Linked DNA regions of Anolis sagrei. The protein of the gene in region 4 purifies or fractionates together with the protein of the main gene of each other region. This does not show direct contact. Links are inferred from orthologs where the notes say so. Each region holds a gene or a part of one and is shown on either strand. Other genes may lie near its edges.

The links.
Region 1: the proteins of RMND5A (region 4) and MKLN1 purify together in Homo sapiens (affinity purification with mass spectrometry; 4 studies listed by BioGRID and IntAct, counting the BioPlex papers as one, with this or other methods). This does not show direct contact. The link is inferred for Anolis sagrei from reciprocal best matches to the Homo sapiens genes RMND5A and MKLN1.
Region 2: the proteins of RMND5A (region 4) and RANBP9 purify together in Homo sapiens (affinity purification with mass spectrometry; 9 studies listed by BioGRID and IntAct, counting the BioPlex papers as one, with this or other methods). This does not show direct contact. The link is inferred for Anolis sagrei from reciprocal best matches to the Homo sapiens genes RMND5A and RANBP9.
Region 3: the proteins of RMND5A (region 4) and SKI purify together in Homo sapiens (affinity purification with mass spectrometry; 3 studies listed by BioGRID and IntAct, counting the BioPlex papers as one, with this or other methods). This does not show direct contact. The link is inferred for Anolis sagrei from reciprocal best matches to the Homo sapiens genes RMND5A and SKI.

The regions. Positions count from the first base shown.
Region 1 is NC_090025.1:190,751,810-190,759,518, forward strand, and holds the start of MKLN1 (muskelin), read left to right. Parts: upstream 1-4,688; 5' UTR 4,689-4,705; coding exon 4,706-4,842; intron 4,843-7,709. UniProt on the Homo sapiens protein: Component of the CTLH E3 ubiquitin-protein ligase complex that selectively accepts ubiquitin from UBE2H and mediates ubiquitination and subsequent proteasomal degradation of the transcription factor HBP1.
Region 2 is NC_090024.1:80,067,049-80,073,963, reverse strand, and holds the start of RANBP9 (ran-binding protein 9), read left to right. Parts: upstream 1-3,906; 5' UTR 3,907-4,234; coding exon 4,235-4,685; intron 4,686-6,915. UniProt on the Homo sapiens protein: May act as scaffolding protein, and as adapter protein to couple membrane receptors to intracellular signaling pathways. Acts as a mediator of cell spreading and actin cytoskeleton rearrangement.
Region 3 is NC_090033.1:1,176,625-1,183,787, forward strand, and holds the start of SKI (ski oncogene), read right to left. Parts: upstream 3,014-7,163; 5' UTR 2,658-3,013; coding exon 2,220-2,657; intron 1-2,219. UniProt on the Homo sapiens protein: May play a role in terminal differentiation of skeletal muscle cells but not in the determination of cells to the myogenic lineage. Functions as a repressor of TGF-beta signaling.
Region 4 is NC_090026.1:52,496,207-52,503,683, reverse strand, and holds the start of RMND5A (E3 ubiquitin-protein transferase RMND5A), read right to left. Parts: upstream 3,005-7,477; 5' UTR 2,847-3,004; coding exon 2,705-2,846; intron 1-2,704.

The DNA.
Region 1 (7,709 bases), on a different chromosome or scaffold from region 4:
AAGCAAGCTGCTTGTGCAGATAGCACACCCACTAATCTTGCATGAGATAAAATGTGCACTTGTCTGTCTCTTTCGGTTTCTCTGTTCAAGCTTTGTAGAGCTGCTGCTGCTGCTTTGGCTTTCTGTGCCCGCTCCTTCCTTGGCTCATCAGCTGAGTCATGTCTTTAGAGAGATCTCCATCACGAAGGAGACACAAAGCTCTTCCTTGAAATCCCTGGTTGCCTGTCAGCTGCCACAATCAGGATCGTCTCCAAAGCAAAACAGTTTCCTTCTAGAACAGACGTGGGCAAACTTTGGCCCTCCAAGTGTTTTGGACTTCAAATCCCACAATTGGGATTTGAAATCCAAAACACCTGGAGGGCCAGAGTTTGCCCACGCCTGTTCTAGAAGGTGGTTTGGCATCTATTCATTTATGAAACTCTGTTCTTAGTATGTTGAGATGAGATATTGCATATATTTCTCAACTTTTATTTCTCATCTCTCTAATCTATCCAGCCTCTGCTTAAAAGCCTTCTCTGGAGGATTTTAAGCAAAGGCTGGATAGCCATCTGTTGGGAATGCTTTGATTGTGTCTTCCTACTGGAAGAAGAGGGTCAGACTGGATGGCCCTTGAAGTCTCTTCCAATTGTATGAATCCCATTATAGGGTAACTTTAGCATCACCATAAACTACAAATGGCCTGAAGACACACATCACCACCATTGTATCTCAATCTCAATATATTTGAATGACAAAATTAAACTATAGCTCTCAGTATCTTCACTAAAGTAAAAATTAAACTATAGAAGGTTCTCAGTATCTTCACTAAAGTAAAAAACTGATAGAGTACTTGTAATATGGAATAACTAAGCCAGATATGGAGCTCATAGATTATTCTGTATCTGTTGCAATATAGTCTGAGGCTGATAGATTCATCAATTATTTAGAGGGGATAGTGGGATTTCTTGTGGGATTTCCTGGGGCACAAAGTGATGAAGATTCAAGCCAGGGAAATGATGGTTCTCTCTGGGAAAAATCTGACTCAGAAAGTGCAAGACTTCAAGGTCAGTCAGAGGAGCCAGAAACCACAACATTAGACAAGGAGTTGTGTGAAGAGCTAAGTGATATGGTAGGCTCCCAGAGAAAAACACCTGGGGTTACAGAGATCAACAAAAGTCTTCATTTACAGATTAGAGCAGAAAATAGGCAGCACCATTCAGAGCGATTATGTGGGAAAGTTGGGGAAATATTTATGGGGAAAGGAAAGATTTCATGGCTTTCTATTAATTAACAAGTTGTTTACCTAAGGCAGTGGTTCTCAGTCTGTGGGTCCCCAGGTGTTTTGGCCTACAACTCCTAGAAATCTCAGCCAGTTTACCAGCTGTTAGGATTTCTGGGAGTTTAAGGCCAAAAACATCTGGGGAGCCACAGGTTGAGAACCACTGACCTAAGGGTTAGTTCAGGCAACCTAGCATTCGAGTGAGAAGCTAGGCCTGAGTTCTCTGGTTCTTGTTTCAAGTCAAGCCTTGGTTTTGGATTTAAGTATCCTGGAAGTTTTCTATGTTCTTCTTTTTGTATTCCTGCTCAAGTTTACTAAGTATACCTTTTGCTTGTGGACTTATGCTGTACTTGTGGGCTATTCCTGTGTTCCTTTGGGATCTGCATGAGGCATTTGGAACACTGTTTGGTTATCACCTATTGCTAACCCCTTTTTAGGTTATACATCTTCCTTCATTATTCCTGACTTTTCATATATTTTTATGTGTTTTTACAATAAATTGTTTGCTTATGTTGTGGACTCTTGTGTGATGCTGTGGTCTTAGGTGTTTTCAGTCCCGGGCTGCAACAGCATCTGGTTCCAGAACTGGTCTTAGCAAATGTCTTACAGGCATCTGGTATACACATGCTTCACTCCACTCTTCTGTGCCTGGTTTCAATTTGGTTTATGTGCCACCATGCCTTATACTTGCATATTCTGCTGGCTTTAGTCACTGTTTTAGTGCATCATGGCTCTGCTATGTATTTTTCAGAGTCCCTGCATCGTCCAGAGAGTTTTGATTAGTGCCCTGAAAATCAGTTGGCCTGCTTAACCGCTGTGAGAACAGCTTGATTGACTTAATAGAGTCTGCATCTGATTTAACACTTCTCAAAAAGTTCATAACCCAGACTTTTATCTGCAGAAGTGATGGAATAAGCCCAAAGTCCAATTATTTGGTAAATAAAAATGTAATGTTCGTTCGTGGGATTAAAAGAACTTAAAAACTACTGGATGAATTGACACCAAATTTGGACACAAGATACCTAACAACCCAATATATGTCCTTCACTCAAAAAATTGATTTTGTCATTTAGGAGTTGTAGTAGCTGGGATTTATAGTTCACCTACAATCAAAGAGCATTCGGAACCCTACCAACGATGGAATTGAACCAAACTTGGCACACAATTCTCCCATGACCAACAGAAAATACTAGAAGGGCTTGGTGGGCAGTGTCCTTTGGTTTTGGAAGTTGTAGTTCACCTACATCCAGAGAGCACTGTGGACTCAATGATGGATCTGGACCAAACTCTATACGAATACTCAATATGCCCAAACGTCGACGCTGGTGGAGTTTTGGGAAAATAGAATCTTGACATTTGGGAGTTGTAGTTGCTGGGATTTGTAGTTCACCCACAATCACAGAGCATTCTGAACCCCACCAACGATAGAATTGGGCCAAACCTCCCACACAGAACACCCAAGACCACCAGAGTGGGCCACAGCAACGCGTGGCAGGGGATGGCTAGTATAATATATAATAATAATATTGTAATATAGCAATACTAATATATTAAACATAATTAGTTCTGATACTATATAATAATATATAATGATATACTGTTCTATTATTGTATATTTGTATATTTGAAGTTGTAATGTTTTTGATCGTGAGTCTCCGTATGGCAAGATAAAGAAGGATATCATAGAATCATAGAATCATAGAATCAAAGAGTTGGAAGAGACCTCATGGGCCATCCAGTCCAACCCCCTGCCAAGAAGCAGGAATATTGCATTCAAATCACCCCTGACAGATGGCCATACAGCCTCTGCTTAAAAGCTTCCAATGAAGGAGCCTCCACCACACTCCGGGGCAGAGAGTTCCACTGCTGAACGGCTCTCAGAGTCAGGAAGTTCTTCCCAATGTTCAGATGGAATCTCCTCTCTTGTAGTTTGAAGCCATTGTTCCATTGCATCCTAGTCTCCAAGGAAGCAGAAAGCAAGCTTGCTCCCTCCTCCCTGTTGCTTCCTCTCACATATTTGTACATGGCTATCATATCTCCTCTCAGCCTTCTCTTCTTCAGGCTAAACATGCCCAGTTCCCTAAGCCGCTTCTCATAGGGCTTGTTCTCCAGACCCTTGATCATTTTAGTCGCCCTCCTCTGGACACATTCCAGCTTGTCAATATCTCTCTTGAATTGTGGTGCCCAGAATTGGACACAATATTCCAGATGTGGTCTAACCAAAGCAGAATAGAGGGGTAGCATTACTTCCTTAGATCTAGACACTATGCTCCTACTGATGCAGGCCAAAATCCCATTGGCTTTTTTTGCCGCCACATCACATTGTTGGCTCATGTTTAACTTGTTGTCCACGAGGACTCCAAGATCTTTTTCACATGTACTGCTCTCGAACAAAAATAAATAGTTGTGAACAGCCCAACTTGCTAAACTCTTGGCAGTTGGCCACGGTAGTACACGCTTTGGTTACATCCCGCTTAGACTACTGCAACGCTCTCTACGTGGGGTTGCCTTTGAAGACTGCCCGGAAGCTGCAGCAAGTCCAACGTGCGGCAGCCAGATTACTAACGGGAGCAGGGTACAGGGAGCACACCACTCCGCTGTTACGCCACCTCCACTGGCTGCCAATTAGCTTCCGAGCACAATTCAAAGTGCTGGTGTTGACCTATAAAGCCCTAAACGACTCCGGCCCTGTTTACCTCTCCGAACGTATTCTCCCCTACGAACCATCAAGATTATTAAGATCATCTGGAGAGGCCCTGCTCTCGGTCCCACCGGCCTCGCAAGCGCGCCTGGTGGGGACGAGGGACAGGGCCTTCTCGGTGATGGCCCCGCGACTTTGGAACTCTCTCCCTCTGGAGGCCAGAACCGCCCCATCCATCCTAACATTTAGGAAACGGGTGAAGAGGTGGCTGTGGAGTCAGGCCTTCGATGAATGAGACAACACCATAGGACCCTGGATGGAAGTTGATGTAGATCCATCTTAATAGGACGACTGACCACTGTAGTTTTATATATAGTGTTTTTAAAGTTGTTTTTGTAATTTGTGATATATGATATTTTAATGAATGTATATGTTTTTTATGGCTGGAAACCGGGCGGAGTCCCTCAATGAGGTTGAGAAGCTCGGTATAGAAAACTGTGAAATAAATAAAATAAATAAGTTGAATAGCCCTGAGCATCCAAAATGCGCTGCGGGCCCTTTAAGAGCAGCCATTTGCTCCCCTTTGCTCTCCATCCAGTTTCCCTCCCCTCTTTGAAAGAGATAGTTAAAATTTACAAAAACTTCCGGCTCCCAAGCGACGCTCTTTAAAGGTCTTGCGGGTTTATATGTAATCTTGGAATAGGAGGAGGTCAACACAAGGCGATGGGGAACCGGACGTGTCGTCTCGCGCATGCGCAATGCCGACGCTCCGTTGCTTCTCTAGCGGATCCTCTTTTGATGACAAAATGGCGGCGGCAGCGGCGTCGGCGGCGGGCCCTCCCGGTTTAGGCTTCGATTTCGGCCCGAACAGCGCCCTCGAGAGCCGCGCCTTGGCCTACACGTTGCACCGATGGAGCAGCTTCTCCTCCACTTATTTGCCGGAGTGAGTCGAGGGGGAAGGGCCGAGGAGCGAGGAGGAAGTCAGGGGAAGGCCTCGGAAGCCTGCCCCGCCCCCTCCTGAGGGGAGGCCAGGGACTAGGCCTCTAGAGCAGGCCTGGGCCAACTTGGGCCCTCCAGGTGTTTTGGACTCCAACTCCCACCATTCCTAACAGCCTACTACAGTTGCCAGAAGCCCCCAGCCTGCATTTGCAGGCTGGGGGCTTCTGGGAACTGTAGTAGGCTGTTAGGAATGGTGGGAGTTGGAGTCCAAAACACCTGGAGGGCCCAAGTTGGCCCAGTCCTGCTCTAAATTGAATGCACTTTGACACCACTTTGAACTGCCATTCCCCAATGCTGTCCTATCCTAGGACTTACAGTTTGGTGAAGCAACCTTGGGAAACTACATTTCCCAAGATTCCATAGCATTCACCCATAGCAATTAAAGGTGTGTGTGTGTGTCTCGAACCTCATTATTTTCCCAACCAAAAGAGATGCCATAACAAAAAGGAATATTACAGGTGGGGCCTTTTTGTATCAGGAATCTTGGCACCCTAAATTCAGAGTGGCGTTGAACTGCATTAATTCTACAAATAAGACTTTATATGTAACCAAAGGACATTTAACCAACTACCAAACTCACAAGTTTTGTATTTGTCTGTTTGTTCTGTTACAAATGTAATATAATGGACTGGTTGCTCTGACACAACAAATAAATAAATAAATAAATAAAATTTGTAACCCACCCTATCTCCCCAAAGGGACTCAGAGCAGATTTCAACAAACAAACGATAAACATTCAGTGTATTGTATTGTCGAAGGCTTTCATGGCCGGAATCCATGGGTTGTTGTAGGTTTTTCCGGGCTATATGGCCATGTTCTGGAGGCAATTTTTCTCCTGACGTTTCTCCTGCATCTATGGCAAGCATCCTCAGAAGTATGGCAGCGGCCAAACACGAATCAAGGAACATGAAAGGCACTGCAGACCACTTCACCCAGAGAAGTCAGCCATAGCAAAGCACCTGATGAATCAACCTGGACACAGTATATTATTTGAGAACACAGAAATGCTGGACCACTCTCACAACCACCATGTCAGACTACACAGAGAAGCCATTGAAATACACAAGCATGTGGACAATTTCAACAGAAAGGAGGAAACCATGAAAATGAACAAAATCTGACTAGAAGTATTAAAACACTCTAAAATTAGAACAGCACAACAACAGAGAGGAAACAAACAAGGACATCTAATCACCTCTCAACAAAAGATTGCTCCAGGGACTGCCAGGCATTCAAATGCTAATCAAGGTGGTCAGTTAAAATATTCACACCTAGCTCCAACATAGAATCATAGAGTTGGAAGAGACCTCATGGGCCATCCAGTCCAACCCCCTGCCAAGAAGCAGGAATATTGCATTCAAATCACCCCTGACAAATGGCCATCCAGCCTCTGCTTAAAAGCTTCCAAAGAAGGAGCCTCCACCACACTCCGGGGCAGAGAGTTCCACTGCTGAACGGCTCTCACAGTCAGGAAGTTCTTCCTAATGTTCAGATGGAATCTCCTCTCTTGTAGTTTGAAGCCATTGTTCCGCGTCCTAGTCTTCAAGGAAGCAGAAAACAAGCTTGCTCCCTCCTCCCTGTGGCTTCCTCTCACATATTTATACATGGCTATCATATCTCCTCTCAGCCTTCTCTTCTTCAGGCTAAACATGCCCAGTTCCCTAAGCCGCTCCTCATAGGGCTTGTTCTCCAGACCCTTGATCATTTTAGTCGCCCTCCTCTGGACATTTTCCAGCTTGTCAACATCTCTCTTGAATTGTGGTGCCCAGAATTGGACACAATATTCCAGATGTGGTCTAACCAAAGCAGAATAGAGGGGTAGCATTACTTCCTTAGATCTAGACACTATGCTTCTATTGATGCAGGCCAAAATCCCATTGGCTTTTTTTGCCGCCACATCACATTGTTGGCTCATGTTTAACTTGTTGTCCACGAGGACTCCAAGATCTTTTTCACACGTACTGCTCTCGAGCCAGGCGTCCCCCATTCTGTATCTTTGCATTTCATTTTTTCTGCCAAAGTGGAGTATCTTGCATTTGTCACTGTTGAACTTCATTTTGTTAGTTTTGGCCCATCTCTCTAATCTGTCAAGATCGTTTTGAATTCTGCTCCTGTCCTCTGGACTATTGGCTATCCCTCCCAATTTGGTGTCGTCTGCAAACTTGATGATCATGCCTTCTAGCCCTTCATCTAAGTCGTTAATAAAGATGTTGAACAGGACCGGGCCCAGGACGGAACCCTGCGGCACTCCACTTGTCACTTCTTTCCAAGATGAAGAGGAAGCATTAGTGAGCACTCTCTGTGTTCGTCCACTTAACCAATTACAGATCCACCTCACCGTAGTTTTGCCTAGCCCACATTGGACTAGTTTCCTTGCCAGAAGGTCATGGGGGACCTTGTCGAAGGCCTTACTGAAATCCAGGTACGCTACATCCACGGCATTCCCTGCATCTACCCAGCTTGTAGCTCTATCGAAGAAAGAGATCAGATTAGTCTGGCATGACTTGTTTTTGATAAATCCATGTTGACTATTAGCGATGACTGCATTTGTTTCTAAGTGTTTGCAGACCACTTCCTTAACAATCTTTTCCAGAATCTTGCCCGGTATCGACGTGAGGCTGACCGGACGGTAGTTGTTTGGGTCGTCCTTTTTTCCCTTCTTGAAGATTGGGACCACATTGGCCCTCCTCCAATCTGCTGGAACTTCTCCCGTTCTCCAAGAACTCTCAAAGATGGTTGCCAATGGTTCCGAAATGACTTCAGCTAGTTCCTTCAATACTCTGGGGTGTAGTTGATCTGGCCCTGGGGACT
Region 2 (6,915 bases), on a different chromosome or scaffold from region 4:
GAAGCAAGTTTGTAGCTTGGAAGCAGTGCATTTGGTGCACCCTCCTCTCCTAAAGGACTTGGGATGCTGGGAGTTGTCATTGACACGCATGCGTTGTATTGTCATTTACTTTTTTGGGGTTTTTAGGTCCTTTCTGCTGTTTTTTTGGGAGAGGTTTATGAGTGATGGTCACTCGTTGGTTTGGTAGGGGTGTAGTGTCCAAATTTTGTGTCAATCCGTCCAGTGGTTTTTGAGTTATGTTAATCCCAAACAAACATCACATTTTTATTTATATAGATTATTATTTATTATTCAAACTGGTTTACAGTAAAACCATTGCAATACAATTTAAAATGTAAAAATATACAAACATTAAAATAGAATAAAATATTAATGGTATTAAAATAGAAAAAAATCAATTATATTAAAAACAAACAGTTAAACTGTGTAAGAACCCAATCCTATCTCCCCCCTGATTGAACTCTACAATGAACTCTCAGACCCCTTCTACACTGCCAGATTATCTGCTTTGAACTGGATTATATGGTGGTGTAGACTCATACAATCCAGCGCAAAGCAGATAATGTGGATTATTTGCTTTGATAACTTGAATTATATGGCAGTGTAGAGGGGGCCTCAGTTAACTGGTGAAAAAAATCAAATAAATATTATTTTAAATAATAAAAAGCGGTTTTTATAATACAGTAAAACTGTGTTAAATTAAGTTTGTTTTAGGACCTCATCACACTGTGTTACTTTTGTACTAGTGATATTTTCATGTTCAGGGAGAGAGAGAAAACATGTAAAATGGTATGCTCTCCCCTGTGCTGCCTCTAATGGCAAAAGAGTGAGCAGAGTCCTATTTTGCACCAATATAGGACAACATACTGTACTATATGTTATTTGAAATACCAGTTGGTGGTAAATCAGCAGAAGGACAAGTTTTCCCTACCTATTACTGACATTGTAACTGAAGCCTACTGTATTGTCTCAAGGTTTCAAGTGGAGGAATGTTATAAGCTTAAGTGGAAAAAAAACCCTTCTTCACTTCATTCAGGATCTGTCTATACAGCCAGGCCTCCACATTTGCTGGGGTTAAGGCCACAGGCCTCACGTGAAAGGGAAAACCCATGAATAAAGAAGAGATTCCCAGGGAGATAGTTTTTAATCTGATGCATGAATTGAATAACCAACTCCGCAAAAGTCAAAATTGCAAATGTGGAGGAATGACAGTGTGCATGCATGCATTTTCCCATTCTGTATGTATATATGTATTCTATGATATACACACACACATATTTTGTGTACAGGTAGTCCCCAAATTACGAACAAGATAGGTTCTGTAGGTTTGTTCTTAAGCTGAATTTGTATGTAAATCAGAACAGGTACATTTTAAAGTGTAATTCCAGCCAAATATACATATTGTTTAGTTTGGATAGAATAGTGAAGGGTTGACGTCCCTGTGGTGCTTGTTTTGTTGCCTGTGTCCCTGTTCAGAAAATTTCACCTCACTTTCTGCCCCTGGAATAGTTGGATTTTGAAAAATGTGGCTTTGTAGAAATAAGGATGCGTGAGAAAGCTTCAGTAGAGACACATTTCTACCATGATAATAGCTCTTCCAGGAGTGAATTTCCCTTTCTGGGGACAGATTTCTCTCACTTCCTGTTGTCTTGGCCCTGTTCTTAACTGTGAGTTGTTTATAAGCCAGATGTTTGTAACTTGGGGACTGCCTGTGTGTATGCATATGTGTGTGTGTGTATATACACATACATACATAGGTAAAGGTAAAGGTTTTTCCCTGACATTAAGTCTAGTCATGTCCGACACTAGAGGGTGGTGCTAATCTCCATTTCTAAGTCGAAGAGCCGATGTTGTCCGTAGACACCTCCAAGGTCATGTGGCCAGCATGACTGCTTGGAGCACCGTTACCTTCTCGACGGAGCAGTACCTATTGACCTACTCATATTTGCATGTTTTCCAACTGCTAGGTTGGCAGAAGTTGTGGTTCATAGCAGGAGCTCACACTGCTACTCAGATTTGAACCGCTGACCTTTTGGTCAGCAAGTTTAACCCACTGTGCCACCAGGGGCTCCATATATGTACACACACACACATATATATATCTTCATGTACACACATACATATATGTACATATAAATGAGAAAAAGCAAAGAGATATGCAAACTCAGCCCCACTTGTTGCAAAATTTTTGCAAACAACACAAGTCTCTTCTCATTCAGAATATATACTTACTTATTTAGGTGACCTGTCATTGGGCGAGTAGGATAGTCTTCCAGGATCAGTATTCTTGTGGATCCGTAGGTGACTGTGGAGCCCTATTCTTGACCTGCATCTTTTCCCACAGTGAGGGCATTGGTTTCCAGGTGGAAGGCGGTCTCGGTCAGGGTTGGCGTGACACATCTTCCTCTTGGTACGTTTCTCTCTTTCACCCTCCATTCATGCCTCTTCAAATTCTGCAGCACTGCTGGTCACAGCTGACCTCCAGCTGGAGCGCTCAAGGGCCAGGGCTTCCCAGTTCTCAGTGTCTATGCCACAGTTTTTAAGGTTGGCTTTGAGCCCATCTTAAAATCTCTTTTCTTGTCCACAAACATTCTGTTTTCCGTTCTTGAGTTCGGAGTAGAGCAGCTGCTTTGGGAGACGGTGGTCGGGCATCCGGACAACGTGGCCGGTCCAGTGGAGGACCATCGCTTCAATGCTGGTGGTCTTTGCTTCTTCCAGCACGCGGATGTTTGTCCGCTTGTCTTCACAAGAGATTTGCAGGATTTTTCAGAGACAGAGCTGATGGAATCATTCCAGGAGTTACATGTGACATCTGTAGACAGTCCACGTCTTGCAGGCATATAGCAGGGTTGGGAGGACAACAGCTTTATAAACAAGCCCCTTGGTATCCCTACGGATGTCCCGGTCCTCAAACACTCTCTGCTTCATTTGGAAAAATGCTGCACTCGCAGAGCTCAGGCGGTGTTGTATTTCGGTGTCGATGTTGACTTTGGTGGAGAGGTGGCTGCCAAGGTAGCGGAAATGGTCAACATTTTCTAAGCTGTATCTCTGGCATTGGAGAGGGGTTGGCTGGTGACGTGGACTGTCTACAGACGTCACATGCAACTCCTGGAACGATTCCATCAGTGCTATTTCTGGAATAGGAAAACTCCAGCATTATGTCCCTGAAGCACTTTATTACAGTTGTAAGATTCTCTGCACATTGCACTTGTCCTGAAATCCAACATACCACCTGTCACACCCAGCACTTTTTAATCTGTACCCATTACTTGGCCTGGCCCTAGTTTTTACTGTGTTATGGTGTAACGTTTTGTTGTTATTGCTTTATGTTTTTGATTTGCTTTGAGTTGTATTTGTTATGCTGTTGTTGTGTTGAGGCCTTGGCCTTTGTATGCCGCATCGAGTCCTTCGGGAGATGCTAGCGGGGTACAAATAAAGTTTAATAATAATAATAATAATTGGTTGGTGTCTGCTCGAACAGCACTTTGGTTTTCTTAATGTTCAATGACAGGTCGAGTTTCTCGTATGCTTCTGCAAAGGTGTTTATATATACAGAATATAAAGAATATATATACAGTATACATACACATTTCTGAATGAAAATATACAGTATACACACACATATATTCTGAATGAGAATATATATATTGCACACACACAAACCTACACACATATATATGTATGTACACACATACATATATATATATATTCTGAATGAGATGAGGCTTGTGTCGTTTTCAGAAGTTTTACAAGTGGGGCCAAGTTTGCACACTTCTTTGCTTTTTCTCATTGACTAAAGCGCGCACCCGCCCTCTCTCCACTTTCCAGGACCGCGCCGACGTCACCGCGCCTGCGTGTGCGCGCGCGTAATAGCACTGTCCTACCTACCAGCAGCAGCAGAGACAGCAGCCTTCTTTCCCCTCAGCTCGAGCGGAGCCGCGTTCGTCTCGAGGGTGGGTGCGCGCGCCCTCACTCACTAACTCACTCACTCGCGCGCCCGTTCCCTCGCGCCGCCAGCTCATGTCGTCACCGCCGACGTCATCCTCCCCGCCTTTCGTCACTTCCAACCCCTTCTTCCTCGTCCTCGCGCGAGCTCAGTTGCTTTCCGTCAGCCGAGGCAGCCGCGACTCCTCCTCCTCCTCTTCTCCCCCCTCAGACTGTCACTCCGGTTTCGGGCTGTTCTCCGTGTAGACACCCTTTCCTCCCCTTGCCGTCGAGGGCGGACGAGGCCGGCATGTCCGGGCAACAACAACAGCAGCAGCAGCAGCAGCCTCCGCCACCGGCCACGGCTCCCCCTCCTCCTCCTCCCCCGCCGCCTCCTCCGCCGCCACCTCAAGCGCCGGCCCACACAGGCCCGTCCCCGCTGCTGCTTCACCCGCCGCCGCCACCTCCGCCCGCCACCTCGGCCCCGCCGCCGCCTCCTTCTTCGGCCTCCTCGTCTTCCGCCTCCATGGCAGCCGGGAGCGGGGCCCCGTCCGCCTTCCCTCACGGCGGCGGCGGCGGCGTTGGCGTTAGCGTCGGGGACCCGGCCCTGAACGAGCAGGAGAAGGAGCTCCAGCGCCGCCTCAAGCGCCTCTACCCGGCCGTGGACGAGGGGGAGACGCCGCTGCCCCGCTCCTGGAGCCCCAAGGACAAGTTCAGCTACATCGGCCTCTCGCAGAACAACCTGCGCGTCCACTACAAAGGTGAGCAGCCAGCCCAAGGCCCAGGAGCAGGCCCGGGACCAGGCCCCGGAAGGAGGGAGGGAGGGAGGGCGCGCTCCCCTCTCCCCCCCCCCGCGCGTGCACCCCGATTTCCAACAATGCTGCCCCCTCCCTTTCTTCTTCAATACATAGCAGTTTCCCCCTCCCTCTCCTTCTCTCCTTCGGAGGACAATAGTCACCCCCCCCCCCCTTCTCACACGGATCCCCTCTTCCATTTTGGGCCTTCCTGCCTCCTTCCTCGGCCTCGGGTGGGATTTTGAGCAATCTGGCCTGTTCTCTAGGAAACTAGGCCTGGGATTATTGTTATTCCCCTTTCGCGTTAAACCAGATCCTTCTGCCTCTGGTCTTAATAGGGTATGAAAGAGAAATGGGGTGGGATCTGTGGCGTTAATCTCTGCGGTTATTTCCTCCCCTTTAATAAGCATATACAAGTTTGTGTGTGTGTTTATATATATAAATATATATATGTATCCTGTGTATGTGTTTATATATCTATATCTTAGTATATATTCTCTGTGTGTTTGTGTATTGTGTATCTATGTCTATATCTTAGTAGCATATATGTGTGTTTATATATACATACATACATACATATATATACATACATATATATGTTTGTATACTGTATAACATATTCCTTACTATCATAGATAGATAGATGAGTATATACCAGTAGTATATAGATGATAGATAGATGAGTATATACAAACTTTGGCCCTCCAGCTGATTTGGACTTCAGCTCCCATAATTCCCATAAATGTTTTGAAGTCCAAAATGCCTGGAGGGCCAAAGTTTGCCCATGCCTGGTATATACTGTATATATGATATTCCTGTCTTAATCATATGTGTGCGTGTGAATATATTCATGTTTATTAGTAGCATATGTGTGTGTGCAGTGTTCCTTTCTTTGTCTGTGTGTGTATACAATCCTTAGTAGCACATATTTGTGAATGTGTTTATCTGTATTCCTTTCCTAGTAGCACTTATTTGTGTGTATATATATTTATATTCCTTTCTTAGCATATATTTGTAAGTGTGTGTATATTTGTATTCCTTTCTTAGCATATTTTTGTGAGTGTGTGTATATCTGTATTCCTTTCTTAGTAGCATATATTTGTGAGTGTGTGTGTGTATGTGTGTATATATATATATATATCTTAGTAGCATATTTGTGTATACACACACTCCTTGGTAATGTGTGTGTATTTGTGTATTCCTTCCTTAGTAGCATCTTGCGAAGAAGCTCACATAGGGGAACGGAGGGAGGGGGAAATGTGGAAAAATAGAACAACAGGAAGTAACTCTCATTGGGTCTTCTGAACAGTTTCGGAAACCCAAGTGGAGACAATCCGACTTTATCCCTCCCTCTGCGATTGCTTCTCTCCACCCATCAAACATGTAAGGATGTTTTGCTTTCTGCTTTGGGTTAGAGGAGGATATATAAACTGGCAGGTTTTCTGCTGCCCGCCTGATCAGTTCTCTTGCTAAATCACAGCTTGGGGTCAGGGGAGGAGAAAGCAAGCCAGTCAGTGTGACGTGTCCAATTAAAAATAACCAGTTAGGGCAAGGAATGTGTGTTTGTTTAGCAAGAGAGCAAAGGTCAGCTGAAGTTGGAAGAACAAATGTAGGAGAAGAAAGGTTTTTGAGGAGAAAGGTTAGAGAACCATTGTTTATTTCTGGGAATTTTGTCTATGGCATTGTGCTTGCTTATGAACAATACAATTCAAAGTTCAGTCAATGTTAGTTCTTCAATTTCAGATTCCCCTGTATTTTAATCTAATCTTCCCCATAAATTTCATGAGTCAATAATGGAGAAAGTAAATTTCATATCAAGGAAACTGAATTATCCACTCTGCTGGGATTTCTTGCCTCACATAGTATTTTCCTTTTATATGTGTAGCAAAAATGATGTGTATAAATAGGACCAAATAGGCAACAACTGCCAACTACTTGCCTTACAACTATGATAGTAAAGCCCAAAGAACACAAATGAATACAAACCTGGAAAGCACACATCCAGATAATCTTCTGAGTTATGAAAGGCAGGCTTTGGTAAAATTGTCTAATGAGTATAGGAAAGGATGGGAGACAGAGCCAATGTGTTGTTCTTGTCCAGAGTACAAAATGATGTCATTCAAGTCAGTTTTTCATAAACTCGAGTCTTTGCTCAAAGCACAGTTATCCTTCCTTATCCATGGATTCAGTCATCAAT
Region 3 (7,163 bases), on a different chromosome or scaffold from region 4:
ATGATATAATATATTTTATAATAATAACTATAAAATACTGAGAGTTTATATTTATTGTGCTATAATATAATACAATAATTGCATATTATACATTACATGTAATATTACTAATTATATTGCAATAAAGTGAAAAAATACAATATAGTATTATATCATACTAATATTGTGCTATGCTAATAATATAATATTAATTATAATACAATATAATAATGGTATATTATATGTTACATGCAATATTAGTAAGAATATTGCCATATAGTGGTATATTACAATATAGTAATATACCATACTAATATTGTGCTGTGCTCATAATATATTTTATATACATCTAATATTGATAATACTATAATTTAATATAATATTAATAATAACTGTATATTATATGCTATGCTCATAATATATTGTACACACATATAATATTGATGCTATCATAATGCAATACAATATAATCCTAATAATACAATATAATAATTGTATATTATGTTACATATAATACTACTAATCAAATTGCAGTATAGTGGTATAGTAAAACATAGTAAGATAGCATACTAATATTGTGCATTGCTCATAATGTAATATATTGTATAATACATGCAATGTTACTAATAATATTACAGGATAGCAATATATTATATTAATATATAATACTAATACAATATAATAATATAATGCTAATAGAAGAATAACGTATAATACTAACAATACAATATAATAATAATGCAAGAATAATATAATAATATAGTACTAATATACAATAGAATAATACAAATATTATAGTAATATAATGCTAATACAAGAATAATGTAATATTACTAATACAATAATATATATAATACTAATAACACAATACAAAATATAATAAAAAATGAATAATATAATAATATGGTACTATTACAATATAATAATGGAAATATTATAGTACTATAATGCTAATACAAGAATGTCATATTAATAATACAATATTAATATGACATTATTCTTGTATATTACTATAATATTTCTAGTATTACATTGTAATAGTACCATTTTATTATATTGTATTGTATTATTAGTGTTATATATTAATATTATTGTATTATTAATATGACATTATTCTTGTATTAGCATTATATTACTATATTATTTGTATTATGTTGTAGTACCATATTATAATAATATGGTACTATTACAACATAATAATAGAAATATTATAGTAATATTATACTAATACAAGAATGTCATATTAATGTTATTGTATTATTAATATGAATAATATAATAATATGATACTATTACAATATAATAATAGAAATATTATAGTAATATTATACTAATATAAGAATAATGTCATATTAATATTATTGTATTAATATGAATAATATAATAATATGGTACTATTACAATATAATAATAGAAATATTATAGTACTATAATGTTAATACAGGAATAATGTCATATTAATATTATTGTATTATTAAGATGAATAGTAAAATAACATGATACTATTACAATATAATAATAGAAATATTATAGTAATATAATGCTAATACAAGAATAATGTCATATTAATAATACAATAATATTGATATATAACACTAATAATGCAACATAAGAATAACAAGAATAATATAACATAGTACTAATAATACAATATAATAATACAATTATTATTATGTAATAATAATACAATATAATGATGATAATATTGTAGTAGCAAGGATCCAATGTATAATATTGCAATGTGCCAGGCCTGGGCCCACTTGGGCCCTCCCTCCAGGGGGTTGGGACTCCAACTCCCACCATTCCTAACAGCCTACTACAACTCCCACCATTCCTAACAGCCTACCGGCTGTTAGGAATGGTGGGAGTTGTAGTAGGCTGTTAGGAATGGTGGGAGTTGTAGTAGGCTGTTAGGAATGGTGGGAGTTGTAGTCCCAACCCCCTGGAGGGAGGGCCCGGCTGTTAGGAATGGTGGGAGTTGTAGTAGGCTGTTAGGAATGGTGGGAGTTGTAGTCCCAACCCCCTGGAGGGAGAGCCCGGCTGTTAGGAATTGTGGGAGTTGTAGTAGGCTGTTAGGAATGGTGGGAGTTGTAGTCCCAACCCCCTGGAGGGAGGGCCCGGCTGTTAGGAATGGTGGGAGTTGTAGTAGGCTGTTAGGAATGGTGGGAGTTGTAGTCCCAACCCCCTGGAGGGAGGGCCCAAGTGGGCCCAGGCCTGGCGGAGGTTTCTCCGCGTCCTTACCTTGAGGATCTCGAGCTGGTCGGCGTTGCACCGGGAGCAGTAGATGTGGAGCTCGTCGCAGACGGCGTTGATCTGCTGGAGGGAGAAGTCCCTCAGGACGGAGTTGAGGATCTGGGGCAGGCAGAGGCGCTTCTCTCCGCCCACCACGAAGCAGGAGATGGTCTCCCCCTCCAGCACGGTCTCGCAGCGCTCCGTGGAGCGGTCCGAGGGCAGGAAGAAGGGGCCCGAGGGCGGCGCCGGCGGAGGGGGAGCCAGCAGCTCCGCGCCCTCCTTCCCGGGGCCTCCCCCGCCGCCTCCCCCCTTGTAGATCTCCTGCGCCCAGCGGGCCGAGAAGGCGGCCGGCCCGCCCAGGGAGCTCATGGAGCTGAGGTGGAACTGCTCCAGCGTCTTCTGCAAGCCCGGGTGAGGGTGGAAGCCCCCCCGCGTCACGGCCTCCATCTTCGGGGCAGAGGCAGCGAGCAAGGCCGGCCAGGCGGGAGGCTCCACTCACTCCTTCACAGGCCGCGGCCTCGCCTCACCATCCTCACCCTCAGCGCCTCCTTCTCATGATCCAAGTTCTCCTCACGCGGCCTTCACCGGGGAAAAAAACATCGCCAGGCACACTCCGAAATTGAACAATCCCCTCAAAAAATAATAATAATACAAGAAGAAGAAGAAGAAGAAGCCGGGTCCAATTGGGAAATCCTGAGGTAAATAACGGAGAGTCGCCCCCTCTCTCTCTTCCTTCTCCTCCGCCTCACGTCCTCCTCCGACGCCCGCTCCGGACAGACTGAGGGGAGCTCCGGCGCCGAGATGCTGCCGCTGCGTCTGCGCACGCGCGGAGCAAGAAAGGGGTGGGGCTTAGTGCTCAGCTCCGCCTCCCTTCGCTCGAACGTCCCTCTCACTCCTCTCTCTCTTCTTGGCCCCGCCTTCCCTGTTACTCTTTGCGTAAGGGGCGTGGCCTCTTCTCCCGCTCCGCCTCCCTTCCCTCCGACTTCCCTCCCTCACTCCTCTCTCTTCTTGGCCCCGCCTTCCCTGTTACTCCCTGCGTAAGGGGCGTGGCCTCTTTTCTCGCTCCGCCTCCCTTTCCTCCGACTTCCTTCCCTCACAGCTCGAGGGGGCGGAGCCTCGTGTTCGGCCCCGCCTTCCCTGTTACTCTTCTTGACAGCTTAGAAGATGAGACGTCGCCCCGCCTCCTTGTGCGTAGGAGGCGTGGCCTCTTCTCTCGCTCCGCCTCCCTTTCCTCCGACTTCCTTCTCTCACTCATCGAGGAGGGGGCGGAGCCTCGTGTTCGGCCCCGCCTTATACTTAAGGGGCGAGGCCTCTTCTCTCGCTCCGCCTCCCTTACTTCCGACTTCCCTCTCTCACACCTCGGGGGAGGGGGCGGAGCCTCAAGTTCGGCCCCGCCTTCCCTATTACTCTTTGCGTAAGGGGCGTGGCCTCCTGTCTCGCTCCGCCTCCCTTTCCTCCGACATCCCTCTCTCACTCCTCTGGGAGGGGGCGGAGCCTCGTGTTCGGCCCCGCCTTCCCTATTATTCTTTGCATAAGGGGCGTGGCCTCTTGTCTCGCTCCGCCTCCCTTTCCTCAGACTTCCCTCTCTCACTCCTCTGGGAGGGGGCGGAGCCTCAAGTTCGGCCCCGCCTTCCCTGTTACTCTATACTTAAGGGGCGTGGCCTCTTGACTCGCTCCGCCTCCCTTACTTCCGACTTCCCTCTCTCACACCTCGGGGAGGGGGCGGAGCCTCAAGTTCGGCCCCGCCTTCCCTATTACTCTTTGCGTAAGGGGCGTGGCCTCTTGTCTCGCTCCGCCTCCCTTTCCTCAGACTTCCCTCTCTCACTCCTTTGGGAGGGGGCGGAGCCTCAAGTTCGGCCCCGCCTTCCCTGTTACTCTTTGCGTAAGGGGCGTGGCCTCTTGTCTCGCTCCACCTCCTCCCTAATACAAAAGGAGGCGGGGCTACTAGATGGAGCGCCTTCCGTCACTCTGAACACCCGGCCTCGCAAAAGGGGCAGGCAGAGGGCGGGGCCTGGTATTAAGCCACGCCTTCCCTCTGAACACACGGCCTAGCAAAAGGAGAGGAGGGCGGAGCCTCGTGTTAAGCCACGCCTTCCCGCTAAACACCCGGCCTCGCAAAAGGAGGCGGGGCCTCGTGGTTCGCTCCGCCTCCCTTCCCTCCCCCTTCCCTGTCACTGAGCCATCGCCCCGCCCCTTTTGCATGGCGGAGGGGCTTCGAGGTTCGCTCCGCCTCCTTTCCCTCCGCTACGCAAAAGCGGGCGGAGCAAAATATGGGGGCGTGGTCTCGAATTGTGCTCCGCCCCCTTCCCTCCTGGCGGCTTGAGGGGCGGGGCTTTGTTAATCGCTCCGCCTCCGTTCCGCCGCTTTCCCACTCAATAAAAGGGCGGAGCAAGGGCGGAGCCTCGGCAATGCTCCGCCTCCCTCTCGGCGGGCAGCCCTCGGCGCGTGCGCACCACGGGAAAAGGGCGTGGCCTGTGCGCTGTGCTCCTCCTCTTTCTCCAAACTCTCCCCTCCGCCTCCCTCTCCTCGGGGCGACAGCGCGTGCACGCTACGAGAAAGGGGGCGTGGCCTTAACTGCACTCCTCCTCCTCCCTCCCAAAATCTGGCTTCTTCCGATAGGGGGCGGGGCCTGGGTGAGGCTCCGCCCTCTCCTCCTCTTCCCTCCCTCCTCGCCACTCTCAGCAACAAGCCAATATACAGGCGCGCATGCGCACTGGTTCGAACGTTTGATAAAGTTTTTGGTTCACAGGAGGCTCCGCCGGGGAAGGAAAGGCGGGCGGGCGGGCGCGTTAGGCTCCTTTTCTCAGCCTTTCTCTTTAGTTTTAAGGCCAAAGGTTGAATTCCTCCTCCACCCAATCCCGTCCCTAGATATAAAAACTGTAAGTTTTATAATCTAGCAAGCGCTCAGATATTTTCAATTCAGATTTGAGGATTGCCTCCCCATTCAAAACAACTACACAGTCAACTATTTCACAAATCAAACATCTAACCTGGCTGAAACTTTAGACTCTCAGTTTGGCTTGTGAATAGGGATTATATATTATGATATTATTATCAATGAAGACATATAAAAATGGATCATGTCTGCCCCCTCGTGACCATCAAGCGTATTGCTTTCTAGTTAACCAAACATCATGACCTCACAACCTCTGAGGATGCCTGCCATAGATGTAGGCCAAACGTCAGGAGAGAATGCTTCGGGAACATGGCCATATAGCCCGGAAAACCGACAACAATCCAAACATTACTGTGAGTTTTCCAGGTTTTATGTCCAATGTTCCCGAAGCATTCTCTCCTGACGCTTCGTCCACATCTATGGCAGGCATCCTCAGAGGTTGTGAGGTTTGTTGGAAGCAAGGCAAGATTCTTAGAATCATACAATTGGAAGAGACCTCATGGGCCATGCAGTCCAACCCCGTTCTGCCAAGAAGCAGGAAAATCACGTTCAAAGCACCCCCGACAGATGGCCATCCAGCCCGTTTCAAAGCTTCCAAAGAAGGAGCCTCCTCCACACTCCCTCCGGGGCAGAGAGTTCCACTGCTGAACGGCTCTCACAGTCAGGAAGTTCTTCCTCATGTTCAGATGAAATCTCCTTTCTTGTATTTATTAGGGCTGGGCAACCACGAAAAAATTTGTTTCTAAACTCGATTCGTTTTTAGGGGGGGTTGCATTTCGTTTTTTTAAAAAATTCTGAAATTTTTCTTTAAAAAAGTTCAAAATTTACGAAATTTCGGAAATTACGAAACAATTTCGAAACAATAACGAATCGATTCGTTAATGGCGGACGCGATTGCACAATACGCTAAAAAACCCTCCAAATGGGACAGGGGGAATTTCTGAAGCTTCCCTCTCCCTCTGTTGTTGACTGTTGGTGAAATAATTTATTTTTTTATCACTGATAAAACAAACAACAACTATAAAACTTGCACCAGACATACGGAAATAATAACGAAACAATTACGAAACAATTACGAAATAAATTTTAAAAATTCGTTTCGATTTTTAGTTGCTCCTGAATGGTTCAATATCGGATCGTAAACCAATTTAAATATGAATTATTAACAAAGTACGAAATTAACGAACGAAACCGCCCAGCCCTAGTATTTATTTATTTACTTACTTACTTCATTTATATACCGCTTTTCTCAGCCCTCAGGCGACTCAAAGCGGTTAACAGCAGCAAAAATACAATGCAAAATATCATAAAAGGATTATGGGACAGTTAAAACAATAGCATCATCAACAATTAAACATCAAATCGTAGTTTGAAGCCACTGTGTCCTAGTCTCCAGGGCAGCAGAAAACAAGCTTGCTCCCTCCTCCTCCCTGTGGCTTCCTCTCACATATTTATACATGGCTATCATATCTCCTCTCAGCCTTCTCTTCTTCAGGCTAAACATGCCCAGCTCTTTAAACCGCTCCTCATAGGGCTTGTTCTCCAGACCCTTGATCCTTTGAGTTGCCCTCCTCTGGACACATTCCAATATCTCTCTTCAATTGTGGTGCCCAGAATTGTACACAATATTCCAGGTGTGGTCTAACCAAAGCAGAATAGAGCATGGGGAGCATGGCTTCCTTAGATCTAGACACTAGACTCCAAACCCAAGAGTGGTGTATATATCTATGGAATAATGTCCAGGGTGAGAGAAAGAACTCTTGTCTGCTGGAGGCAAGTGTGAATGTTGCAATTGGCATTGAATGGCCTTGCAGCTGATTGCTGCCTGCTGCCTTCGTGGAGCATTGAATGGCATTGAATTGCAGCGTTCTTGGAGGGATCCTTTTTTGAGAGGTGTTAGCTGACTCTGATTGTTGTTCTTTGTTTACTATCCTGATTTTAGACATATTTGTTTTACTACTGGCAGCCAGATTTTGTTCATTTTCATGGTTTCTGTTGACATTATCGACATGTTTATGGATTTCAGTGGCTTCTCTGTGTAGTCTGACATGGTGGTT
Region 4 (7,477 bases):
GCACACAACCACAACAACAACAACAATCCTATCTCATCAGCCAATAACAGGCCCACGCTTCCTAATGAAATACTAATAGGTTTATATTTGTTAAAATTGTTCTTCATTTTAATTATTGTATTGTTCTAAAGCAGGGGTCCCCAAACTTTTTAAACAGAGGGCCAGGTCATAGTCCCTCAAACTGTTGGAGGGCCGGATTATAATTTGAAAAAACATGAATGACTTCCTATGCATACTGCACATATCTTATTTGTAGTGCAAAAAAACAATTAGAAACCAATACAATAATTAAAATGAACAATCTTAACAAATATAAACTTATTAGTATTTCAATGGGAAGTGTGGGCCAGCTTTTGGTTGATGAAATAGGATTGTTGTTGTTGTGTGCTTTCAAGTCGTTTCAGACTTAGGTTGACCCTCAGCGAGGGCTGGGTAAATGACCTTGGAGGGCCGCATCTGGCCCCCGGGCCTTAGTTTGAGGACCCCTGTTCTAAAGTGTTTTTTGCACTACAAATAAGATACGTGCAGTGTGCATAGGAATTCATTCTTTTTTTCCAAATTATAATCCGGCCATCCACAGTCTGAGGGACTGTGACCTGGCCCTCTGTTTTAAAAGTTCGTGGATCCCTGCTCTACACGAATACTCAATATGCCCAAATGTGAACACTGGTGGAGTTTGGGGAAAATAGAATCTTGACATTTGGGAGTTCTAGCTGCTGGGATTTATAGTCCACCTTCAATCACAGAGCATTCTGAACCCCACCAACAATAGAATTGGGCCAAACTTCCCACACAGAACCCCGATGTGGGCCGCCACAGCAATGCGTGGCAGGGGATGGCTAGTAAATAGTAAAAATGATGCTGGGCTTTAAAATGTCCTCTGACCTTTCCCCCTAACCGCACAGCCACAAGTGTTGTTGGGTTGCAATTCCCATTCTCCTCAGTCTGTATGGCGGACAATGTAAAGCAGTGGTTCTCAACCTTCCTAATGGCGTGACCCCTTAATCCAGTCCCCCATGTTCTGGTGACCCTCAACCATAATATTGTTTTCATTGCTACTTCATAAGTCATTTTACTACTGTTATCAATCATAATGTAAATATCTGATATGCAGGATGCATTTTCATTCACTGGACCAAACTGGGCACAAATACCCAATACACCCAAATGTGAATGCTAGTGGGGTTGGGCGAGGATTGATTTTGTAATTTGGTAGTTGTAGTTGCTAGGATTTATAGTTCACTTATAATCAAAGAACATTCCGAACTCCACCAGCGATGGATTTGAACCAAACTTGACTCCCATGACCAATGAATAACATTGGAAGGGTTTGATAGAGATACAGAATGGGGGATGCCTGGCTCGAGAGCAGTACGTGTGAAAAAGATCTTGGAGTCCTTGTGGACAACAAGTTAAACATGAGCCAACAATGTGATGTGGCGGCAAAAAAAGCCAATGGGATTTTGGCCTGCATCAATAGGAGCATAGTGTCTAGATCTAAGGAAGTAATGCTACCCCTCTATTCCGCTTTGGTTAGACCACACCTGGAATATTGTGTCCAATTCTGGGCCCCACAATTGAAGAGAGATATTGACAAGCTGGAATGTATCCAGAGGAGAGCGACTAAAATGATAAAAGGTCTGGAGAACAAGCCCTAGGAGGAACGGCTTAAGGAGCTGGGCATGTTTAGCCTGAAGAAGAGAAGGCTGAGAGGGGATATGATAGCCATGTATAAATATGTGAGAGGAAGCCACAGGGAGGAGGGAGCAAGCTTGTTTTCTACTTCCCTGGAGACTGGGACGCGGAACAATGGCTTCAAACTACAAGAGAGGAGATTCCATCTGAAGATGAGGAAGAACTTCCTGACTGTGAGAGCCGTTCAGCAGTGGAACTCTCTGCCCCAGAGTGTGGTGGAGGCTCCTTCTTTGGAAGCTTTTAAACAGAGGCTGGATGGCCATCTGTCGGGGGTTATTTGAATGCGATGTTCCTGCTTCTTGGCAGGGGGTTGGACTGGATGGCCAATGAGGTCTCTTCCAACTCTTAGATTCTATGATTCTATGATGGGCATTGACCTTGAATTTGGGAGTTGTAGTTCACCTATATCCAGAGAGCACTGTGGACTCATGCAATGGTGGATCTGGACCAAACTTGGCATGAATACTCAATATGCCCAAATGTGAACACTGGTGGAGTCCGGGGAAAATAGATCTTGACATTTGGGAGTTGTAGTTGCTGGGATTTATAGTTCATTTCAATCAAAGAACATTCTGAACTCCATCAACCATAGAATTGGCTCAAACTTCCCACATGGAATCCCCATGACCATCAGAAAATACTGTGTTTTCTTATGGTCTTTGGCGACCCCTCTGACACCCCCTCGCGACCCCCTCAGGGGTCCCGACCCCCAGGTTGAGAAACACTGATGTAAAGGGATGGGAATTAGCCTTCAAAAACACCTGGGGACGCAAACTGGGTCAAAACTAAAGAGAACTGACCACTATGGACAAAAAGTATAGTCTAGTTGAGGGCCCTTTGAAGGCTGATGCAAACGAGCCATAAGTGAAGTTTCCTTCCCGCCAACCTCTCTTCAAAGACACGTTGACCAAGTGAAGCGCAAACGCCGGGCTCCCAGGAGAGACTGACCACAGGTAGGCCTCGTTGCCAAGGGCAACCGGAGGGGGGGAGGAGGGGAGGGGGCACCTACTCTCGCTTTGGAGGATCTCGCGGCGCAGTCCGGCCACGTACTGGATCAGCTCCTCCAGGCTCCGCTCGCAGAGCTGCCCGTAGCCCGAGAACTTCTGCAGCACCTTCTCCAGCTCGCGCTCCACCGTCACGCACTGGTCCATGGCCACTTTTTCCCGCCGCTCCGGCCCACGGAGCTCCCGCAAACAGACCCCGAGGCCAACCCGGGCTGGTGGTGGGGGTTGTTTTTGCAGGCAGCGCAATAGACGAGCGGGGTCCTTTCCCGAGCAGGGCTGGCGCTGCGTCACAGGCGGCGCCGAAAAACAACCCCGAGTTCCTCAGCCGTGCTGTTTGATTGGACGCTGACTCATAGATCTAGGAAGTTGTAGAGAAACGCATTGCTTAGCTCACAGAGAATGCTTCCGGGTGTATTTGGAGTATTTTTCCCACTGCTTATGGGCACTGTTTATGGAACGAGAGACCAAATTGCCAATATTCACTGAATAATGGAGAAAGGAAGGGAGTTTCAGAAAAACATCTATTTCTGTTTTATTGGCTATTCTAAAGCCTTTGACTATGTGGATCATAATACATTTGTGACAAGTTCTTGGTGGTATGGGCATACCGAATCACCTTGTCTCTCTCCTGAGGAATCTGTATAATTTATTATTATCAATTTAAAACATTTATATTCTGCCCTTCTCACCCCAAAGGGGACTCAGAGTGGAGCACAGCATATACATGGCAAACATTCAATGCCTGGATACAATACATAAACATTAAAAAACATTTATCTAAATATCATTTATCTAAATATTAAAATCTCCAGCAAAGGATCACCGCCTTGCCGGGGCGCTGGAGCTTGAGTGCCTTGGACTGCGAGAAGATCCAACCAGTCCATCCTCCAGGAAATAAAGCCCGACTGCTCACTGGAGGGAAAGATACTAGAGACAAAGTTGAAGTACTTTGGCCACATCATGAGGAGACAGGAAAGCCTAGAGAAGACAATTATGTTGGGGAAAGTGGAAGGCAAAAGGAAGAGGGGCCGACCAAGGGCAAGATGGATGGATGGCATCCTTGAAGTGACTGGACTGACCTTGAGGGGGTGGTAACGGCCGACAGGGAGCTCTGGCGTGGGCTGGTCCATGAGGTCACGAAGAGTCGGAGACGACTGAACGAATGAACATCAACAAATATTAAAATACACCATTTAAAATAACACATTTTAAAACCGTCCTAGCCATCCGCATCAAATCCAACTGGCCCTGTCATCTTTCCCATTGTTGCTTCATTGCCCTGTCCCGAAAGCTTGGTCCCACAGCCAAGTTTTTACCATCCTTCTAAAGGACAGGAGGGAGGGGGCTGACCTGATCTCACAAGGAAGGGAGTTCCATTGGCGGGGGAGCTATCACCGAGAAGGCCCTGTCTCTCGTCCCCACCAATCACGCCTGTGACAATGGCGGGATGGAAAGCAGGGCCTCCCCGAAGGATCTTATTCTCCGCGATGGTACATAGAGGGAGATTCGTTTGGACAGGTAATTTGGGCCGGGGACGTTTATAAGGACCAAGTAGCAACAATACGAACTGACCATGGTACGGCAGGGTTGTATACTCTCACCCAACCTATTCAACTTATAGCAAGAACATATCATGCAATGTGCGGGGCTTGAGGAATGCAAGGCTGGGGTTAAAATTGCTGGAAGAAACATTAACCTTACTTTCGAAGGCTTTCATGGCCGGAATCACGAGGTTGTTGTAGGTCTTTTCGGGATGTATGGCCATGTTCTAGAGCAGGGGTCCTCAAACTAAGGCCCGGGTGTCGAATACGGCCCTCCAAGGTCATTTACCCGGCCCTCGCTCAGGGTCAACCTAAGTCTGAAATGACCTGAAAGCACACAACAACAATCCTATCTCATCAGCCAAAAGCTGGCCCACACTTCCCATTGAAATACTAATAAGTTTATATTTGTTAAAATTGTTCTTCATTTTAATTATTGTATTGTTTGGTGTGGCTTGTTGGTGCCTGGGGGCAATCTTTTGTTGAGAGGTGATATTGTTTTCCCTCTGTTGTTTTGCAGTGGTAATTTTAGAGTTTTTTTAATACTGGTAGCCAGATTTAGTTCAAGGAGGAAACCATGAAAATGAACAAAATCTGGCTACCAGTATTAAAAAACACTAAAATTACAACAGCAAAACAATAAAGGGAAGCAATCAGGGACATCTAATCACCTCTCAACAAAAGATTGCCCCGGGCACCAACAAGCCACACCAAACAACTGCCAGGCCATCAAATGCTAATCAAGGTGGTCAGTTGAAACATTCACACCTAGCTCCAACAGACAAGAGTTCTTTGTCCCACCCTGCTCATTCCACATATATATAAACACATTTTCCTAGTTACAAAAGACCTCACTATCTCTGAGGATGCTTGCCATAGATGCAGGCAAAACGTCAGGAGAGAATGCCTCTAGAACATGGCCATATAGCCCGAAAAACCTACAACAACCCATTAACAACCTTAGATATGCAGATGATAACACTTTGATAGCCAGAAGAGAAGAGGAGCTGAGGAGCCTTCTAATCAAGGTGAAAAAAGAAAGCGCAAAAGCTGGGTTGCAGCTAAACATTAAAAAAACGATTATGGCAACAAGCATGATTGACAACTGGGAAATAGAGGGAGAAAACGTGGGGGCAGTGGCAGACTTTGTATTTCTAAGTGCAAATATTACTGCAGATGCAGACTGTAGCCAGGAAATCAGAAGACATTTACTTCTTGGGAGGAGAGCAATGTCCAATCTCAATAAAATAGTAAAGAGTAGAGACATCACACTGGCAACGAAGATCCGCATAGTTAAAGCAATGGTATTCCCTGTAGTAACCTACGGATGTGAGAGCTGGACCTTAGGGAAGGCTGAGCGAAGGAAGATCGATGCTTTTGAGCTGTGGTGTTGGAGGAAAGTTCTGAGAGTGCCTTGGACTGCGAGAAGATCCAACCAGTCCATCCTCCAGGAAATAAAGCCCGACTGCTCATTGGAGGGAAGGATACTAGAGACAAAGTTGATGTACTCTGGCCACATCATGAGGAGACAGCAAAGCTTAGAGAAGACAATTATGCCTGGGAAAGTGGAAGGCAAAAGGAAGAGGGGCCGACCAAGAGCAAGATGGATGCATGGCATCTTTGAAGTGATTGGGCTGACCTTGAAGGAGCTGGGGGTGGTGACGGCCGACAGGGAGCTCTAGCGTGGGCTGGTCCATGAGGTCACAAAGAGTCGGAGATGACTGAACGAATGAACAACAACAACAATTTTTGCAGTTTTGTATTCATTTTATTGTAATTGTATTATTGGCATGTGGACAATTTCAACAGAAAGGAGGAAACCATGAAAATGAACACAATCTGGCTACTAGTATTAAAAAACTCTAAAATTGAAACAGCACAACAACAGAGAGGAAGCAGGCAGGGACATCTAATTACCTCTCAACAAAAGTTTGCTCGAGGCACAGTCAGCCCATTGTATGCTAATCAAGGTGGTTAGTTGAAACATTCACACCTAGCTCCAGCAGACAAGTGTCCTTCGTCTCACCCTGGTCATTCCACACAGATATAAACCCCTTTTCCTAGTTCCAACAGACCTCACTACCTCTGATTTATTATTATTTATTTCGAGGTTTTATATACCAACCCTCTCACCTTCAAAGAGGGATTCGGACCGGTTCACAACATGTGTTAACATACAAAAAATATACAATAACAACACAATGCCACTTCATTACACGATTAAAATATCAGCACCATACACATTAAAACATTATCTGAGGATGCTTGCCATAGATGCAGGCGAAACGTCAGGAGAGAATGCCTCTAGACCATGGCCATGCAGCCCGAAAAAACCTACAACCCATTTTATTGTAATTGTATTATTGGGCTTGGCCTCATGTAAGCCGTCCCTTTGGGGAGATGGTGGCGGGGTATAAATAAATATTATTATTATTATTATTATACTGACACAAAAGCACAGTATGTCACAGCAAACGAGATCTATATGCTGGATTTCGTATCTCAAAATCACAAGTCGAACACTTTCCAAGCATCTAGGACTGTGTGATGTATTGCCGAATGATGCACGCAGATCCAAGTAAGGTGGCCTTTTGCAGTTGAAAGATCGTGATTTTGTCGATGTTAATTGTTTCCAAATGCCGTCTGAGATCTTTTGGCATGGCACCCAGTGCGCCAGTGACCACTGGGACCACCCGTACTGGTTTATGCCAGAGCCTTTGCAGTTCAATATTGAGGTCCTGATAACGGATGAGGTTTTCCTCAATGCAACTGTCACCTGGTATGGCCACATCAATAATCTAGAAGTCCAAAACACCCGGAGGGCAGAAGTTTGCCCATATCAGGGAAATCCCAAAGTGTAGGATAATTTCAGTTGGAAAGTCCTTTCAATGAACCCAAAAGTGGAGAACTGTGTGTGAATCTACACTTCAGTCTATTGTTCTACACTAGATAAACACATCTCTGCGTATTCAAGTCAGGCATTAACTCAGGCACCTAAGACTGGCCTCCAATTGGAGTCCCTCATTGCCTGCCCATTTCGGACTTTTTGCGTCAAGAGCTTTGACAGACAGTGTGGGAAAAAGGGGGGGGGGGGTGTTGTTTGTTTATATGTGAGGTCTAATGAGTAAACACAGGCTGGAAAGCGGAAGTGACTCCTCGGGGTCTTCCCGCCATTGGTTTAACTTCCGTCGCTTGCTGGCTAGCGATAGAAAAACAGCTTGTGGGCCTCACAATTGA